2 linked regions of the Drosophila melanogaster genome follow. The protein of the gene in region 1 interacts with the protein of each later gene in a pairwise test. Each region holds a gene or a part of one and is shown on either strand. Other genes may lie near its edges.

The links. The genes of interacting proteins can lie anywhere in the genome.
Region 2: the proteins of CG10559 (region 1) and Fis1 interact in a two-hybrid assay, tested with the Drosophila melanogaster proteins (one large-scale study listed by BioGRID).

Annotation. Positions count from the first base shown.
Region 1 is NT_033777.3:25,312,751-25,318,803, forward strand, and holds CG10559 (uncharacterized protein), read right to left. Parts: upstream 3,367-6,053; 5' UTR 3,355-3,366; coding exon 3,165-3,354; intron 3,109-3,164; coding exon 2,618-3,108; intron 2,551-2,617; coding exon 2,178-2,550; intron 2,113-2,177; coding exon 1,919-2,112; 3' UTR 1,744-1,918; downstream 1-1,743. Other genes in the region: CG10553 (uncharacterized protein), read right to left, coding at 3,871-4,055, 4,115-4,481, 4,543-5,027, 5,117-5,324; CG10560 (uncharacterized protein), read right to left, coding at 5,877-6,053.
Region 2 is NT_033778.4:5,601,922-5,606,801, reverse strand, and holds Fis1 (Fission, mitochondrial 1), read left to right. Parts: upstream 1-1,967; 5' UTR 1,968-2,047; coding exon 2,048-2,092; exon of another isoform or gene 2,093-2,151; coding exon 2,152-2,219; exon of another isoform or gene 2,220-2,285; coding exon 2,286-2,334; intron 2,335-2,390; coding exon 2,391-2,558; intron 2,559-2,789; coding exon 2,790-2,902; coding exon of another isoform or gene 2,903-2,906; exon of another isoform or gene 2,907-3,007; intron 3,008-3,040; coding exon 3,041-3,062; 3' UTR 3,063-3,215; downstream 3,216-4,880. UniProt on the Drosophila melanogaster protein: Involved in the fragmentation of the mitochondrial network and its perinuclear clustering. Functions downstream of Pink1 and upstream of Drp1 to regulate mitochondrial fission.

The DNA.
Region 1 (6,053 bases):
TCGTATACGAAATGATTGTTCGACAACATCAAGCATAGGTGGCGCCACTCTTCCGTTTTTGCCAAAGGCGCGGAATATTTGAATAATAAAATCCGTTCTGCTTTTGGCCCAGCCCATTCAATAAGGAACGTCTCAAGATTTGTGTATTTTTAGAGAATTATATCAAATGTGCCGACAAATTGAGTATCTTGAAATTGAGTCTAATGCGTCGGCGGAAAATTATCATAACGGACACTAATTGGTACAGTAAAATAAAAAAATGAAATAACCTTAAGTGCAATAACTTTTGAATGATTTCCCATGAAGTTATCTCTGCAAAAGTCATTATTACCCCAATATGTGGCACTTCTTTTATTCCACACTTGGAAAAGTCAGTAAGCATATGACTCAAGCTAATACTTAGAAGTGCTAATGCCACTCTCAAGTGTTTTCTTCGATACTTGAGAAGAGTTGCTGCACTACCTGATATTTTTATATTTTTTTTAAGTGTATAAGACTAGAAAACTTGTAATACTAATAATTCCGTGGGAAATGCATCATTGTGAAGATAAAACTTTATCGAAGTACATAGTTGGAGAAACGTGATTTGACGATTTGTGGTCATTCCATTACGGGTAATTACCGAACTTTGGTGGGGCTTTTATTGATTAGGCAATTATCAGAATTATCGCAAATTAATGAGCAAAAATCGTAAATCAGGTCACATGCCACCGAATGAAACACTTGTTATAAGTTTGGAGTACATTACGAAACACAATTCGGGGAATCCTACCTAATCGAACTGAAATGATAGTTTTGATTTTTGAACAATTTTCAATGCACTTTCTTAGCTTATAAGCTAATTTCACTCTTAGTCGCTCTTTCCACCACAAGAAAAGTTTGAATACTAGATGTTAGTCCCATCTGAACTATGTTTTTATAGCACTATTGGGGGTTGGTCAAAACTGGCGGGTCGGATCCCTAGATTCGGTGAATGGCCCAATGCGAAAACACATACAGCGGTGGCAAACCTTTTTCCTTAATTGGTAAACGGAGCGCACTGATAGATCGACTGCAATCCGGCCAACTGTCGAGTGGGAAATACGAGTGGTTGTGCTCGGGAACAGCGGTATTGCCCCGATTTGGGTATGGGCCAAGAAATTCCTTATCGCATGCATTCGATTGAAGTTTTTTTTTTTGTAATTCAGTTCGCCAAAACCGGCAAAAGAGTGGCAATTGGCGTTGGCGAGAGTGGGTGCGCGATAGCGTGCCCGAGCGAGAGGTGTGTGATATATGATATAGAGACGCAAACACCGTCAATTGTTTGATTGATAACGAAAACAGTTTCTTGTTCCCGCTCCTGATTCGACTTCCATATCGGGATCGGGCACCCGAGTTCCTCTTTGCGCTCGCCATTCGCTCTAATTATTTCGTGATTCCTCATTAATTGGTGTTTTTGGGCGTGACATGTGATGGGTAGATAGACAGTTCACCATCGGTTTCCGCACGAGCACCACGCACTCAATAAACAATTATTTGAATATTATTAATCCTACAAAATGCTGGTCTATATGGGTACCAAACGGCATTTTGATTATCTTTGATTGTGCTTTAATGGGGCAGTTATGTTTTGTTTTATTATTAGGCCTGGCTAGTACAAAGCGGCTAGAAGTTAAATATATTTTCACATACTCATCATTTAAAAACAAAAGTGTGCTTATGAGATTATGTTTACCATCCGTCTAATGAGAAACTTCTATACTTCACTGAATAATCATTGCTCAGTTACAAGCATATTTTATTCTTAAAATTCGTGCATTAGTATTTTATTGAAAGCAGTACATTTTATATGTCATGGTATTACAAATTTTCTTTCCCAGAGAACGTTAGGAATCACTTTAGCAATAGTATTCTTTATATATATATAATGTATAGCGAACTAGCACTGGAAGGCCCCTCGATTGTTCAACCATTTGAGAATGGCGCTAACGTGCTTCTTATATCGGGCATTGGAGTACATAGCCAACTTTAGACCATCGCCATTATCCGTCTCGGTGACGAAATCGGTCAGATTTGCATCTTCAGTCCGATCGAGCAGCACTGGTGGGCAGAGAATAAAAGCAATGTGATACCCTACGATTGGAAAAGAAATCAGAACTTGGTTATCTACAGCTTTGCAGAGCGAGGTTTCCACTTACCAACTCGTCCATATTTCAATAGCTGAGTATGGAGGAACCCCAACGTGGGGGTTTTTGCTTCGGGGTAGTTCAGCATTCTCAAGTGCTCGACCAGGTGATCGTGGTAGTACTTGATGAAGTAATCGAACTGACTCAATTGGATTTCGAATTTCGTCGAGCCCAGGAGGAAATAGATCAGATCATATGCCACGCTCGTGACCTTGGGCAGTTGGAGATCCACGAAATATGTCTCGATCGGTTCGGGCGACTCGTCCTCGTACTTAAACATGATGTTGCTGGTCCAGCAATCTCCATGATTCAGAGCATTGAAGTCCTGCGGATCGGGCGTGTTCATAGCATACATAAGGTCGACGATTTTAGGTTGCATCTTGTGCTGTACAAATAGATTATTTTGTGATGAACCGTGCAACCAATTGGTGCATATAGCTAAAGAAACATACAACCGCCGCACTGTACTCCTCGTAACCCTCGTAGAGTGGCAGGCACTTGAGGAAATACTTGCCCAAGGTTTCAGCCACCTGTTCGATGCTCTCCTTCATGGTATCGGCGTACGTGGGTTGCAAGTAGTTCTGGGGGTACGGACCCTTGAGATGGATCCTGGTGGCCGATACCGCATGCCACTGGGCCATCTTCTTTAGAACACACTTGGTGTGAACCATGTCTAGGCCCTCCAGGCGATCGACGTTCCTGAAACCCAAAGGACCCAGATCCTGCAGAAGTACGTAATCATCGGGCGCGTCGATTTCATAAGCCTTGGCCCCAAACTTGACCTCCACGCCCACATCCTTGTACATCTGTTCCAGCTCGGGAATCACCTGAATGAACACATCCCTCTCCACAGCAAACATGTTGTTCTTCCTCAGAATCTCGCGATACATCTCGAAATCATAGGGAGTCTTCAGCATATAGCTCACATTTTCGATTGTGTGATCTGATGATGGAAATTTCTGCTTGACTTTCCATTGTTCACCTGTGACTCACACTCACCCTGCAGTTCGACTTCAAGCTTGAGGCGCAGCATAATTGTGGAGTAGTTTTCTCCCGGCTTGAGCCCGGCTTCCGGCTTGAAACTTTTGATTCCGGCATAATTGCCGCCGTAACGTTTACTTAGCAATTCTTCGAATAGATTTGCTCTCAGCCAGGTGGGCATAGGCGCTGTTCCTGTCTCAGCCGTCATTCTAAGCAAACTAAGAGTTTATTTGCCGGCTGGTCCCGTACAAACATGTGAGCAAAACTTTTTTTCTCTGTATCTTTGTTTGCTACCAAAACAAATGCCAATACGAAAGCTCCAAAAGCTTGTCGGAAAACAAAGAGAGTGCTGGATATGGAGAGTTCTCAAAACAACTTGTTTTCAAAGTCTCGAGTGATACATACATATAGACCAAAACAAACGTGGGGGGATGCATTTATACCCATATAGAAGCTTGTCTGTCATATAAGTGTAAGTATTTAAAGACAATAAAAATAATTGTATGACCATAAAAAAAAATGCTTATAACTATACTTATAGTTATATTTACCTATATGTAAACTCCGGAACAAGTTTTTTATTAACCACAATGTTTGTTAAACACTAGTTAGGTCTTTATTAGATATTACACAATATGCTACTTCTACTATACTGTATATATAAACCTTGAGTGTAATTTTTTCGTTATACGCCATACGATTTAATATTGTGCATTCTAAGTATCTATTCCATAGCTCCGCGATGCTGAAGCCATGGCAATAGAACCTCCATATGTTTGCGAAATCTGGGATTAATGTATAGCGAGTTCTTAAAGCTACAGTCGTCATCACCAAGAACCTTATCAAAATCGGCTCCGTCCACGGGATCCAGGAGGACATATGCCAATATAGTTGCGGTGCAGATGAACGCTGAAATGTTTTTTTTTATAAGATCTGAACTAATGATTAAGTAACGATTGAAAACTTACACCATCCACTGTATTTGTTGAGAGCGTCGTTAATTCTTCTTAAAGTGGGAAGAGTTTTCGAATATCCAAGCAATTTCAGATGCTTTACCAATTCGGAGTGGTAAAACCATATGAAGTAATCAAACTTTGATGTTTTTATGTCCAAGCTTGTAGAGGACAAAAGAAAGTAGTATAGATCCTGGGTCACTGATCCCCACTTAGGGACTTGCAGATCGACAAAGTAGGTATCCTGTATCTCGCCTTTCGTATTGTACTGGGACATAATGTTGTTGGCCCAACCATCGCCATGGTTTAACGCAATAAATTCATCAGGACTCGGATTGTTGAGGCTCTCCACAATTTCGAATGTCTTGCCGGAGACAATGCGCTGTAATTAATGATAAGATAGAAGACTTGAAGATACGAATATCAAAAGATAAATTACCCACCAGATCATTTAGATAAGTTTCGTAACCCTTGCACAGATGGACGTTATCCAGAAAAACTTTTATGCTCCGATTAATAAAGGCATCTACGATTTCCTCGTTCCTTAAAAAACCCTTTGTGTACTTCTCCTGATAAGGACCCTTTGTTTCTACGCGAACGGCAGAGGCCGCATGCCATTGGGCAAATTTCTTGAGAACACATTCGGTGTGAGCCTGGTCCATGCCTTCGAGGCGATCTATGTTCCCGAATCCACGTGGCCGAAGATCCTCCAGCAGGACGTAGTAGTCGCTGGCCTCTATGTCGTAGAGTTCAGCTCCAAATTTGACCTCCAATCCCACATCGCGATACAGTTGCTCCAGCTCGGGCACTACTTCCACATACATTCCTCGCTCCACATCGAAGATATCTGTCTTCTCGATTACTTTACGATACTGCTCTGACTGATGGGGAGTTTTAAGCATAAATGCCTTGGTTGTTTGAGTGTTATCTGCAAGGTTTACAATAATTGAAAGATAATTTCAGTTCAAATACGCTGATACCCTAATTCATTAGTCCTATAGAATGAATTTAACGAACCTTCTTTCTCAACATCCAGTTCAATTCTAAGCATTACGGTGGCATAGTTTTCGCCAGCAGCGACTCCTGCATTTGCCCTCATGGATTTCGTTGCTTTGTAATCCTTGACAATCCTTTTAAGCAGCTCCTCAAAGACTGTTGGCTTAACCCAATCCGGAATGGTGACCTGTTTTTGGCTAACATCCTCATCCTTTGTCTGGGGATGCATCTTGTAATAAGCTGTTTCAGTTCAGCGCACTTACTGCAAGCTTAGAGCACTCAGCGAATGTCTTAAATACTCTAGGGAGAAATAAATCTACATGTGAGCGATAAGCATTACCTCTTACCTAACAATCAGTCAACTGTTTTATATTAATTTAGTTTGTGAGAAGTGACTGTGCTCGAAAGGTGCGTCCGGAAATTTTAAAACAATCCCTCACCCCACAGAGTAGATTATCATAGTGACATCGCAGTTTCTGCGATATTGGCTCAATATAATATATCTTAATCCAAAGTAACTCTAAAGTGTTTAGATGATGTATTTGGGAAGATAACAGGCGCATTTCCAGCATACAATTTTCTATTATTCTATTTGGAAAACAAACGTATGGACAGGAAAAAATCTTTCGCCTTTCCATTCTGAAAATTAGGGTGGCCCTTTTCTCATATCACCTTATAATTACAATCCGATATTCAACATCAATATTTTGTATCGTTTAATTTATTTCTAAGTAAAAATGATATCTGCAAATAGACTAATTTTAAGAGATCATTTGATATTTTACTCCAAGGCACCACGATGCTGCAGCCAAGGTAAGACAACTTTCATATGCCTGCGGTATCTGGGATTGGTGTAGATGGAATTCGTAAAGTTTGAATGCTCGTTCGAAATGATCTTATCGAAATCAGCATCATCTGTGGGGTCCAGCAGAACGACTCCCATGACGGATATAGAGCA
Region 2 (4,880 bases), on another chromosome or scaffold:
TACGCTGTGGTATTCGGAGGGTGAAGCTTCACCCTTCAAGCGGCGTTGCGACTACTCCATGGACAGCTACTCGAGGCTCGGCTGATAAGGGAAAAAGTAATAATAAATAAACGGATATATGAGTCGGCAATAGTTTTTCCAATTGCCGCGATAATAATCGACGTGAACAACAATGGTCTTTGTCCTGGTCATGCTCCTGCTGCTTGGGTGCCCACATAAAGAACAATCGCGAGCACGCGCCCAACGAAAATTACAGGATCATTTATGGCGAACGGGGCAACCGCCTGGTAGCAGTCTCTTGGTAGCACCCGCTGCAAAAACAACCCCGTGCTGACACAGCGTGTGTGTAAACACGTCGCAACAATTAGTTGCCCTTAACGAATCGACGGCGAACCGTCGTCTTCCGGTCAGGGTCCCGGAATGACATTAAGCTCCGATTAGTCACTTTCAAGTTGGTTAGGAGCCAAGCAGCTGCCTGCCATCCGCAACTCTCGCTCTTATTGTTGGTCCCCATATCTGTATTTGTCGCACAACTTTGTTGTGATTACGGCGATAAAGCGGCTCAAGTAAATCACAATAATACGACGGTCTAGTCTGGCCGACTCGGTTCGAAAGAAAGTGTGAATAGAGCCGGGCTCAACAATCAACAACAATAGATTCGCCGGACCGGACCATCAATGACAAATGTCTCTAGGATTATGAGTGGGCATGTGCATAAAAGTCAAAAGCAATAGAAATAAAAATTGTGTTCACGTCATGGGACATGTCAACAAAAACTGCCGAGAAGCAATTGCGCGACACTTTCTTGGGTGTAAATTAAGATACTTTATACTGGCCCTTGGTGAGGACCAAGCTGGTGGCCAGCTTGGGTTTTTGTGTATCACTCGATTGTATTTTGCTCTTTGCATGCGTCAGCTATATATTGAACCGCTAGCATATTCATTGATTTTCGAACAGTAATTCTGCAATATCATTGCCTGTTCAACTTCGTGGGACTAGCACAACCCATCTCTTGCCTCCCCGCACCGTCCCGCGAAGAAATGCCGTCACGTACGCGAGCCCCATCGTTCAACAAATAAAGAATGAACCGGATCCTCATCGTAATTATACTGATGCGTTAGCAAAATTGCTGTCAAATTATAGGAGGCCAGCTCTAAAATCGAGCGATCTTTTGAAGGTAGGTAGGAAATACGAAATTCAGTGGCCATTAAAGTTAATGATGGGTATTTATTTTCAAAAAAGCTTTTCATTCTAAACTCTTTTAGGGGTATATTAATAAGAGATTCCGACCAGCAGTGTCTTCATTGCATTTATCTTCATATTTTATAAAGCGCACATCGAGAACATGATAAATATTATTTCATAACAACTATTTTTATAAACAAACTTTTTTAAGAAACTCTGAATTGATGGAACCGAGATACATAAAAAACGGACTTACACCTTATCTATTCACAAAATACAGGAATTTGAATACTAAATTACACACATTACTCGAAGAGTAAAATGTTAAAGTAGATTCGTTGAAAAGTCTGGATCAGGTTCAATTGAAATGAATTAAAAAGAAATCAACAATTCGTTGTTATACCCGTTAAATGAATAAAACAGGTAACACAAAACTTTTCCTAACACTTTATTGAGGATCAATAACCGAGTCGGTATTGAGGAGCCAAAGAAGTTAACATTTTTTTGTAAATGCATTTTTCTCTGATCACAATTAATAATTATAACATCAAAAATTTTATAAAATCAAACTAAAGTAGTTAAAATCAAATACTTCCGTGAATTCGCTAAAATTTTTGAAACTCCAAAGCTGAATTTTATTTGGCTTAATTAAGAACACATGCTATTAACGGAGTACCCCTTATTAAATAGTCTCAGTGGCAATCGAATATAAGAAGGAACACTAAAAATGTGAAGGAAGTCGTTCTCTGAGAATTGTATATAAACGGTACGACTAATCCTATATTTTTAGAATGAACGGCTACTCTTGGCGTTAAATTCTCTGTATATAATTTTTGTATTTGCTAACAACATTTGCCAAACAATGGAGGATCTTTTAAACGAAGTTGTACCACAAGAAGATTTAGAAGTAAAAAATATTATTTTAGTTCTGATTGTTATAAAATAAATATTTTGCATTTGCTCCAGAGATTCGAAAAAAAGTATCATCACGAACTTGAGTTGGATGGTGAAGTTACCACAGACACAAAGTTTGAGTACGCATTCCTAAATCTAAAAACATTAAAATATCTCAATTCTTCTCAATTCTAATGACACAATAGGTACGCATTCTGTCTGGTCCGAAGTCGGTACACAAATGACGTTAGAAAGGTGACTCACTTTTAAAGCTGTAAAGATGTAAAAATATTATTTTATTTATAATCCAGGGAATTATGATTTTGGAGGAACTGGCTCGTACGCATCCAGATGGAAGGCGTGACTATATATATTATCTTGCGTTTGGTAATGCTCGTATCAAGGAGTATACGTCTGGCTTAAAATACTGCCGAGCTTTTCTTGACATCGAGTCAAATGATCAAGTTCGCTCCCTAGAGGTTAGTAAGGTCACTAAGGAAAGCAGCAATTTCTATATAATCTCCAATAGATTCAAATAATTTTTTGATCCAGAAAATTTTTATGACAACCAAAATCCCATGATCACAAAAGATGTGTCGTGTTAAATGTACATATATAATAATGAAAAACATATTCATGTGATCCTCACTAATGTACATACACTAAAATTCAATGTACGAATAATTACTAAATAACTTTACATATTTCAGGAATATATTAAAAAAGAAATCGATAAGGAAGTGGCAAAGGGTATGGTGGTTGCAGGCGGAGCAGCTTTAGTACTTGGCGGAATATTAGGACTTGGCATTGCTATGGCTAGAAAGTAATATTTTATACCAACACGTTTTTAACCGACAATGTTCTTTTAAAAACAAGCAGTTGAAAATTAAATATTTATGATTTAAATTAAATCTACATTGACTTAATTATTAATGCTATGTGTACATTGTTTATTTTTTAGTAAACAAAAACGGGAGAAATAGTAACGTCACCACTATTTAAGGAAAATAAAACATCGAAAGGTGCACATCAAGATGTTATGAAGTTTAATACTTGAAATATGTTAATTTACTACATCAACATTCTAATTAATCTTTATGTACGGTTAAATCAATAAATTATCCAATTGTTGCTTGTAGATCGTGTGTGTTAATTACATATGTTAAGGTATAGTGCTATGCCGACTCCGCTGAATTAAACTCCAACAATGCTTAAATCATCGGACTTCTGTTGTTTTTAGTCCATACAAAGAAGAACTTCGAAGGCGTAGTCTACCGAATCATCGCCCCGGCTGGGTGCAAAATAATATGATCTCCCTGGGTCCAGAAGACTGACCTCCAGTAATCCAAACTACTCTCTACTCCTTTCTAGTGAAATTGTATTTCGGATATTTTTTTTTAGACTCAGGATAGGTAGGATTAGCTAAGTGTTCCCATCTAAAATAACTATTTCTTCATGTCGCATATTTTTGTGAGTACGTACGGCTTTATCAAAATCGTAACACAAGGAACAGCAGATAGCCTTGAATAAAGGTTATGGGTGGAGCGCAGTTTTATACTGAATTTAATTCGGAGACTAGCTATATTTCAATAGTGGTAATACTTTGGACGTTGATAGGGGATATCAAGAAAGCACGCATTTCAATCCGGCTCTATCTCGTCAGCGAGTGTCGTGGTGTTCTTTTGAGGTTACAGCATTTGGGTGCTCATTCATATCTATGTGAATTTAAATGATAGCTATGGAAAATGATAGATAGGGAGTTTCTCTCAATGCACAACCCACAATGTCATTGGGGGGTGATAGTTGCTCACCCTGCCATGGTCCACGCGATTCCAAATTAATTATGCATTTGGCCGCTTTTATCCAATTGGGGTACGGAAGTTCTTGGATCAGCATGTAGTTTAAATTGGTGTTTCTACTTAAACATAATTTGATTTTATTACTGATCTATTGATTAATATTGATATTTTTTCATTCTATACCTAACCGTTCTAATTCCTGTAATAATTCTACACTTGTTCGTCTTCCGTTCGATATCATTTTCATTTATTATTTACTACATATGATACTCGAAAACATTAGGTAATTTAAAAGTAAGACTTTCTTGGCTCCATTGCATAAATATTTATAAAAACATTTAAATTTAGTTTATTTCACTTCAATAGACTTACGCAATGATTAGGTTTTAAATTTGAAAACAAACAAAAGCAAAATGAGCATACATATGTGGACATTTCGAGCATACGTTTGGTTATATATTGAACTGCCAGACAGTTAATAAATTGGTTGGTCATTAAAATCCACTAATGAAAGAGATTCACCTTATCTTATTCGGCTTACTTATTCGTTCGTGAGCAGTAAACTGTAAATCTTCTTTTTAACCAAGCTCTCTATCTCTAAACTATCCCAAACCTTTTGACTTCAATATTTGATTTGGTTGGTTTATATGAGCTCATTTTGCGTAAAGTTTGGGATGAGACATATTTTTAATACAAATCAACTAAAAGTGTAAATCAAAATCACTTTTCATCCAAGCCATATGGCCAGGAACTTAACCCGGATTTCTATCCGAGCCCCGCTCAGTATAGTTATTAGAGGCCCACAATTTTTTTTAGTGTTAGTTAAGTTTTAATTTTATTTCAAGTAATGGTTTTGTTAATCTCCCTATGTAGACGATATAATAAAAAAAGCCTTTTTAAATCTTCCAGAAATAGGATAGGCCAAGCGAAGATCCATAAATTTGGGTTTGCAAAGGAGAAAAGAAGGGTCCGCAATGACTTATGGAATTTTCCCGTTGGACG